2 linked regions of the Drosophila melanogaster genome follow. The protein of the gene in region 2 interacts with the protein of the main gene of each other region in a pairwise test. Each region holds a gene or a part of one and is shown on either strand. Other genes may lie near its edges.

Region 1 (4,955 bases), on a different chromosome or scaffold from region 2:
GTCCACGGAACACGGTGTATTCGGGGCAAACGTATCGTTTGTCACTGGATTTTCCCAATTCCTATCCGTATGCAGCACCCGTGGTGAAGTTCCTGACGTCCTGCTTCCATCCCAATGTTGATCTGCAGGGCGCCATCTGTTTGGACATACTGAAGGACAAATGGTCGGCCCTGTACGATGTGCGCACCATTCTGCTGTCCATACAATCCCTGCTGGGCGAACCGAACAACGAGAGTCCACTGAATGCGCAGGCCGCGATGATGTGGAATGACCAAAAGGAGTACAAAAAATATCTAGACGCCTTCTACGAGAAGCACAAGGACACCTAGAGTTTGGCAATTCGTTGTCATATATCCTATGCTCATATTGCGGCGTATTTATTTACATATAGTGCAAGCAACTCCACTCATCCGAAGACCTACTGCCAACCAACAAACCAATCATCAATCACCACCGTAACACAGTACCATCAGTTAAGTGGATCACCAGATCAATTTCAACAACGTTCAATGCTGATAGTTCATTTGGCAAAAGACCCCGTGCGTTTCTTATGTAATTGTCGATCGATTGACGGATAATCTGGTTTTTATTCTCATTTCTTTCCTCCTCCCTACAAATTAATGATAAATGAATGTATTGGTAATGTAATTTTAAAACTGTCATCCGTTCTTTAAGCTTAAGGATAAATTTTAGTTAATTGTTTTATATACGCATGATTACTTTTTTGAGAACTACTGCGAGTGCGCGCCATCGCCATCGCCATTTTTTTGTACTGATGATTTTTAAGCGACTATGCTGCTGCGCCGGCCATTATGTGAATGTTAGCTAATTTTAGGGCAGCCTCATCGATTCGTCAACCATTCGCGTCGTCTTAGTATCTCCAATTATGCGGCATTCTCCCACAATACTGGCATAACAAAATTCCAAGTAATTCGAATCATTGTAACAGTTGTGTTAGCTTGATGTTATTGAAACCACAAATAAAACGAATTATTGAACTACATCCATCGCTTTGTGTTTCCTCCCGTGAGCGTTGAGCTCCACGCTGTTCTGGAAAATGCGTCCGCATTTTCTGCATCTGAGCAGCAGATTCTTATTGCCGTGCTTGCGCAGCAGATGATCCACCATGTTCTCCTTGGTGTAGAATCTGCGATCGCAGCATTCGCAGCAGTATCTCCGACCCTCAACGCTACCATGGACCATCTTGTGGCGCGTTAGATGTGCCTTTCGCGCAAAGCACTTGCCACACTCCTCACAAATGTGCCGCGCATCCGGGGACTCTGACTCGTGATACCTTTCGTGCGTCCTTCTCATGTGATATTTGAGACTTCGGTTCGCTGTGTACACCTTGTTGCAGCTCGGACAGGCATAGATGATCCGCGCAGCGTCGGCATTGTTATGCATCTGCCGCAGGTGCGACTCCAGCAGATTGGCCCGGGCATAGCTCTTGGCACAATGGACGCAGGTATACGGTCTCAGACCCTCATGCTGCTGCATATGGGCCTCCAGCAGCGACGGTTTGTAGAAGCCACGGTGGCAAATTCGGCACTCGAGGGTGTGTCGCACTCCTCGTCGTTTTCTGGCACCCAGCAACTTGCTAGAAATGGATAGCTTCTCCTGGCCCAGATCCTGTTTGGCTGACTCGTCCTCTATTACGTAGACTTCCTCCTGGAAAATTTAGGGTATTATATATTTAATTACCATAGCAAACTGAATGGTGGTGGTTTTTTTTTTTTTTTGTGGGAATTCTGTACATATCTATTATGAAGGAATTTTTTATGTAAAAAGGGTCTAAGCATATAAAAACAAACTGCTTTTGGTTGAGTTAAGTAATTTGTAGTAAGGGTAGGAATTACATTATGTTTACTCATTACTTTAAAGTGGAAATTTTTCCTTAATTTGCTATTAAGATTATCTTATCGCTCGACTTAGAAGATGATAAAATGAAAGTAATATTTTGTGAACCGAACTTTTGGCGGTCACTTATCTGTTTAGTTTAGTTTTTTAATGCTAAAAATATTAAAGGCGCTATAAATAATATCTAAAATGAGTGAAAGTTAGGGAACACATTTATCTATTCTAGATAAAACTGGCCTTTAAAATCGACTTTCTTATTTGGAGGAGCCATAAATCGAGGCGTGTTGCCATCTTCCCAATTTTATTAGTGGAAAATTTAAAAATACCCAATAGATTGGGACGTGCCTCCTTTTCGAGTGCTATCACCCACCAAACAAAAATAGTACAACACAAACAAACGCTGTCGAAATGTTTTTGTTTATGGCGGGGAATGGGGAGCAGTATTGTCTTTGCTTGGCTGCTAGGCAACACACCTCGAGCGAAGCACCCAATGTGATTCTAGATAAGATTACGGCCAGAGGCAGGCACACTTGTGGCCAGATAAAACTCACAATCTCCTGCGTCGCTGCGATGCAGGGTGCGTGCGACTGGGCTTCCGGATTAGTGGACTCGTTGCTCTCCGAGGGGGTGTCCAAGTCGTGCCAAGTGTGGTCCTCCAGTTTGTGGCATCCGATGTCGATGTCCTGCAGCAGCTTCTCAAAATTGCGCAAGGACTCTGCGCACATGCGTTGAAAGTCGTGGAACTTTTGCACCAACTGATAGCAGCACTCGCAGATGCTTTTCAGCACCAACTGGGGTGGCAAATCCCTAACGGCATCCTCTCCAGTACAGCCGTAGTACTTGCTGGCCAGATCCTGTTCGCTGTCCAGATTGTGACACGCATCCTGCGGACCCAGTAGCACAAGACAAGCGCGGCATATCATCGTCTTGGCACCATCGCATCCATCCATGCCGGAGGTAGTGGTGGTGGTGGAATCGGCGACAATGCGACCCGCGCACAAACTCAGCTGGGAATCAAACATCGTTGCTGGCATCGTCGGGAGATTCAACGGGCCACTCAAATGGCGTGGAGCCAATTGAAATCAATTAACACAATCTGCGACGGCGGCAGTGCAGCAGTCCGGCGTCCAGCGGCCAAGCCAACGATGGCAGTAATGCCAGCGGAGAGCACGATTCCATTTCCGGGGCTTTCGAATTGCGGGACATTGAAAGCTGCTGCCGAAAAGCTGCGTGGGATCAGCCCCAAAAGCTTGGCGTCGACTCCATGCCCCCAACTATTCTATTCGAAAAGCTATCCTGCATAGTAAAATTGATTTAAAATATTATGCGACTTCTTTAATTAATTAAAAAATATTTCCTTTAATATGCTTCGATATTTTAGTGATCAAAATAAATATATTAATTTAATATGAATTACCTTTTTTATCAAAATCTCAAGTTTTATTTGTGTATACAGCACAAAGTATTTAAAGAGTAAATTAAGTAATTTTTAAAAGATTCTGCCATGTGATTTTAGGCAATCGTTACACATGAAAAAGATTGTGAAAAAACATATGTTCTGACAAGTTAAAATAATAATAATCCAAATGTATAGCATATCCTAACCCTAGATATAACTACAACTACTCAGTTTGTAGTATTTTGCTTTGTCCATTCGTTTAGTTAATATATATCCTTCATCTATATGCTATTTCCGGTGACAGTCGAGCCCAAAGTCACAGAAGTGGCCACTGAAGACAGCGTTTCCATGGAGATATTGAACTTCTGCTTGAATGCCTGCATCGTGTCCAGATGGTAGATCTTCTGTGTTCCATTGCAGGGCCTCTGATCGATGGCCACGGCATAGAGATTGACATCTCCGCTGTTGGCCAGCAGCGTGGACATGTAGTGGGGCAAGTAGACGCGCTGCAGTTCCGGGGATTCCGAATTCTCCGATGCGTTATCCCCGCTGGCCATTTCCTTGCTGAACGACCGATGCAAACGGACTATCTGCACGCTTTGATAGTGCGATATGAATAGGAATGGATCGCGGTAAACAAATCCAGTGGGTGCATAGACCCAGTTCAAATCGTACGGCCTGGATCTGCAGCCAAACTCGTCCACAAAGACGCCATATTCGGCAAAGCAGAGCAGATACTCTTGTCGTGAGATGCGCACCGCAGTTAGGGGCTGGCACTTGGCAGTGCTCTCCATTGACTTATCGGACAGATCCACAAACTCCTCAGCCGCATAGTTGTCCAAATCGATCTCGTAGAACTTATCCGAGCTAACAATGGCCGAGTGACGCGTAAAGAATATGGATGTGACCGGCGTGGCCGTGTCCAAGGCTCGAACTGGCTTAAACATGTGCAGCTTAAGGTCGTACTTCAAGATGACAATCCTAGTGGACGTGGCCGCAATAGCCACCGAATCCAATGCGTTCTCCGCCTCATCGGAGATCAGCACTAGTTTCCATTTCTCCGATGGCGTGCGATTGGCAAATGGCAGCTCAATGGCCGACGTTTCCAGCACAGGCTTGTGACACGAACTGGAGCTCTGACAGCGTGACTCCAGCTGGCGGTAGTCACATTGATATAGCTTCTCGCCAACTGTGCCCACCATTATAGCCTTAGCCAGGCGCTTGCAAATGGACATGCAGCTCACCGATTCGAGACCAGAAATGTGCACCAATCGCTGCGAGTCCAAGTGATACGCATACAGTCCCGTGTTACAGCCCAATAGGAGTATTTGCTGCTCGGCCACTTCAAAGGCGCAGTTCACTTCGATCTCCTTCCGTGCCTGATCTTCTGCACCATCCGAACTGTAGACCAGCGATCCAATGTACTCGCCACCGCTGGTTGTACCACCCGCAACATCTACGCTATCCAAAGTCAAGCTGGAGACAGATTGAATACTGCTAAGATCATCGGCTGACGGTGCAGTCGGCTTGGTGGATCCGCAATGGCTCTGAACATTGGAGCGACACTTGCGATGCGTAACATCTTTGCACTCCTTGCATTTCCAGAACGGCGAACCGGCAACGACGGCCTTTTCGCAAACTACACAGTTGACGGCATCCACCTTGGACTCCTGCAGGGCCAGTTCGAAACGGTGATGAG
Region 2 (4,157 bases):
CATAGAATATATTTATTTGTTATGGTTTCAGCATCTTGGCAACTCTACACCAAGCAGCTGTTATCTGCAGACCTGCCAGATCAGCAAAAAGCAGCTGACTGTTACGTTAACAACCACATTTTATGTTTTTGTTTACTAAAACAACTTTAGTTAATACTCCGACGGGATGACTTAAAGTGGATGCCCCAACATCATTTCTAGGACATGGCAGCGGAATTGGGTCTGGAATCGGCCGCGGGGTCCGTGGCAATCAAAATGCAAGAGCCGGTCAATAAATTAAAATTTTTCCATGCACTTGTTGTAAGTAGATGAAAATTAAATGAAAAGTTAGTTCTTAAATAATTAGTTTTAGGCAGGAGGAGTGGCTGGAATGGTAGTGGACATAGCGCTGTTTCCCATAGATACAGTGAAGACCCGACTGCAAAGCGAGCTGGGCTTTTGGCGGGCAGGAGGATTCAGGGGCATCTACAAAGGACTCGCTCCTGCGGCTGCAGGAAGTGCTCCCACGGCGGCCCTGTTTTTCTGCACCTACGAGTGCGGAAAGCAGTTCCTTAGTTCGGTCACCCAAACCAAAGATTCACCCTATGTTCACATGGCAGCGGCTTCAGCAGCAGAAGTGGTAGGATTTCATATAAAACTGAGCACCTCGTATTTAGATCTGAAGAATCTCTGTATCCAATAGTTGGCATGCTTGATCCGAGTTCCCGTGGAGATTGCCAAGCAACGCTCCCAAACATTGCAGGGCAACAAACAGTCCGGCCTGCAAATTCTACTGCGTGCCTATCGCACTGAGGGATTGAAACGTGGTCTGTACAGGGGATTTGGTTCCACTATCATGCGGGAGATTCCATTTAGTCTGATACAGTTTCCGCTCTGGGAGTACTTTAAGCTGCAATGGACTCCCCTGACCGGCTTCGATTCCACTCCTTTTTCGGTGGCTCTTTGTGGAGCTGTCGCTGGAGGCATTTCAGCGGGATTAACTACGCCGCTCGATGTGGTCAAAACCCGAATTATGCTGGCTGAAAGGGAGAGTCTCAACCGACGTCGCAGTGCCCGAAGAATTTTGCATGGCATTTACCTGGAGCGAGGCTTCAGCGGGTAATTATTTCCATATTAGACGCAACTCAAGCTGGTCCTAATATTTAAACACAAATTAACTTTACAAAACTATTTATTACATTTATTAATGTACTTCGATGTTACTTTTCAGTCTGTTTGCTGGCTTTGTGCCGCGTGTGCTGTGGATCACACTGGGCGGTGCATTCTTCTTTGGCTTCTACGACCTGACGACGCGAATCCTTGGCGCCACCAGTACGGATCATTAAAATTAGGGTTATTTTCGTTGTACTTGTAGTAGAGGCACGTAGTTTGCAGTAGTAACTAAACCGATGACAACCACCGTTTGAAGACAACGTGGACAATAAAGTGTATGGAAGACTTTTGAGATTCACTAGGCATTGGAGGCGTTATTCGCTCCCTGTGGAAGAAAAAGGGCTGTGATTGTATTGGGACATTGTCACGAGCTCACTGACATCCTGAATGTGGAGGCGACCAGTGAGGAGAGTAGCAGTAGTCCTTTGATCTCCCAGTTCATCTCCGCAGTCCATGGGCACATCGGAATCCTCCTCATCCACATTGATGTATCCACTTCGCGGAGCCTTCCTGCTCTTTAGGCAATCCCAGGAATTCCGACAGCGACTACGTGACATGGCGTAGACCTGTGTACACCCAAATGCATAAATTAAACAAATGTACATCCACTTAAACAAACAGACTGTGGCGATAACGCACCAGTGCAGCCAGAACGAAAATGCCAACGAGCACGGAAATTGGCAGCCATATGTATTGACCGTCGTCCGGATGCAGTATGTCCGGTTCAGGACTAATGGTCGTCTGAGGCTCAAGTAACTTCATCGTTTTCAGGGGATGTACAAAGAAATCACAACAACTACGAAGCAAAAAGTTCTCAAAAATTTCAGCGCTCCCAAGTGCTGCCAGACCTCTCGTGAAATAGGTGGCAACCCTAGCACAGCTATGTTTAGTTTTTCTTCACATTTATGGCTAAGAGCGGGGATTTTCAACTGTAAACAAAGAAGTATTTATTAGGTAATCTGAGTAATCTTTTCAATTTGATCAAAATAAGCTTTGCACAGATGGATCCCCAAACATCAAAAGTATGCCAAACGCTTAATTTTACAATAGCAAGGCGAACTGCAGAAGCTCCCGTGAAGCTTGTATCCCATGAAGTCTCACTTTCAGACAGTACTACTTCTTTGGAGCTGAGCAATTGCTGCCGCTTGTGTTTGGAGGAGCCGTATCCCAACCAAATGCTGGACATGACCGTCATCTATGACCAGGAGGCGGCGCTGAGTTACTACGACTGCTACGAGATCTGCACCAAGGAAGACCTGCGGCAAAATCCCAAAAACGAGCCACGAACCTTGTGCAAACGTTGTGCGGTGGAACTGAAATGGGCCTACGACTTCCACAAGAAAATGGCCATTGCCAATCAGCAGTTGAGGGAGATATTTGTGGCAACCGAAGCCAACACGGAACAGGAAGACGACGTGGAGGATGAGGAGAATGAGGCGGATATGAATGAAGAGTTCCTGATGGAAGAGATTGAGGAGAAGCAGGAAACCCCTATCGACAGCTTAGAGGACATTGTGCCACGCAATCGGCATACGGGAAAATCCAACTGCAAGTTCTGCCACAAGGAGTTCAGGAACCATTCCCGCATGGCCAAGCACCAGATGATTCATTTGGCCAATCGTCCCAACTTTCGTTGCAGCCAGTGCGACCGGGTTTACCTCACAAAGCAGGCGCTGAAAGTTCACGTCGATTCGAAGCACAGGCAGTCTGGAGTCCACTGCGACACATGCGGCAAGGTTTTTGCCATTGCCAAAGCCCTGGAGATTCATAAACGCTATCATAACAGAGACTTTCCCTATTCCTGTGATCTCTGTGATCGTCGTTTCGCACAGCGATCCCATTTGACTGTCCACCAGCAGGTTAAGCACTCTGGATCTCGCTTCATTTGCGAGTTTCCCGGCTGCCAGAAGTCCTTTACCTCATCTTCATCTCTCAGGAATCACGAGTGCACGCATACGGCCATGCCATTTGAGTGCGCCCACTGCCATCAGAGCTATCCAGCTCGTAACAAGTTAGTTATTTTGTTTAAAGTGTACATTATTTGAAAGTAACACTCCTTAATAATTTTTTAGACTACGCATGCACCTGGAGCGTAAGCATAACATGGTGGTGCAGATGGAGGACCTGGAGGAAATGCGAAAGTTTCACATCGTGCGCTCCAAGTTGGTAATGGCAAAGATTTACTCGGACCAGAAAGAATCACACCATGCCAAAAATGATAGCGCTGCTATTTCTAAATAAAAAGTATTTAAAACTATTACCAAAACTTAGATAATAGCTTAATCTTACACTAACTCGCATCCCATTTTAAATTCCGTAAAATTGCCTTACAAATATCACATTCAATTTATTTCACACTTTCATTTGGTTATCTTACACGGACAGGGATAGATATTCACATACATATATAGATTTTCGATATCATAGACAAAATAAATGCTGCTAAATCTGGTGGTATACAAGTTCGATCTGCGCCACAAGAATCCTTCAGTTCGACAGCGTTAGGACCTAATGGCATCTCATCGCGGCTTTGGCAAAGATCGTGAAGTCATCCGGATGCTGAGAGGATCCAGTTGCCGTGCCCGTCGTTGTGGTGGCCACATTTCCATTGCCAGCCTCCGCTCGCTTTCTAGAAGTTATCTTCTTCCAGCCGCGAAGGAAGATTTGATTTCGGTACTTGGGCGTGGTGAAGGTGTACAAGAGAGGATTAACCGCCGAGTTAAGTGGCAGCACAAAGACCACCAACCAGGCGTAGATGTCATCGGAGATATTGTAGTTGAAAAAAACCCAGATCTTCATAACGATGATGGGCACCCAGCACAGGAAGTCGGTCAGCACGATGAAAAAGAATCGCACAGCGAATTCGCAATCCAACAGAGTGAGCGGAGTGGCGCTCCTCGTTCGCCATATCGAAATAAGGAGTGCCGTGTAGAGCATCGCAATCATCACCAGCAGCAGCAGATTGACGCCCAGGAACACGAAAGCCGAGTAAAGCCAGCCCATCG

The links. The genes of interacting proteins can lie anywhere in the genome.
Region 1: the proteins of CG4730 (region 2) and CG10654 interact in a two-hybrid assay, tested with the Drosophila melanogaster proteins (2 studies listed by BioGRID).

Annotation. Positions count from the first base shown.
Region 1 is NT_037436.4:12,504,820-12,509,774, forward strand, and holds CG10654 (uncharacterized protein), read right to left. Parts: upstream 3,022-4,955; 5' UTR 2,892-3,021; coding exon 2,331-2,891; intron 1,669-2,330; coding exon 991-1,668; 3' UTR 555-990; downstream 1-554. Other genes in the region: vih (vihar), read left to right, coding at 1-329; sti (sticky), read right to left, coding at 3,538-4,955.
Region 2 is NT_033777.3:25,676,534-25,680,690, reverse strand, and holds CG4730 (uncharacterized protein), read left to right. Parts: upstream 1-2,008; 5' UTR 2,009-2,095; exon of another isoform or gene 2,096-2,106; intron 2,107-2,143; exon of another isoform or gene 2,144-2,153; coding exon 2,154-3,163; intron 3,164-3,224; coding exon 3,225-3,393; 3' UTR 3,394-3,619; downstream 3,620-4,157. Other genes in the region: CG4743 (uncharacterized protein), read left to right, coding at 205-300, 353-619, 683-1,098, 1,211-1,325; CG5039 (uncharacterized protein), read right to left, coding at 1,451-1,477, 1,533-1,718, 1,792-1,914; Lgr3 (Leucine-rich repeat-containing G protein-coupled receptor 3), read right to left, coding at 3,661-4,157.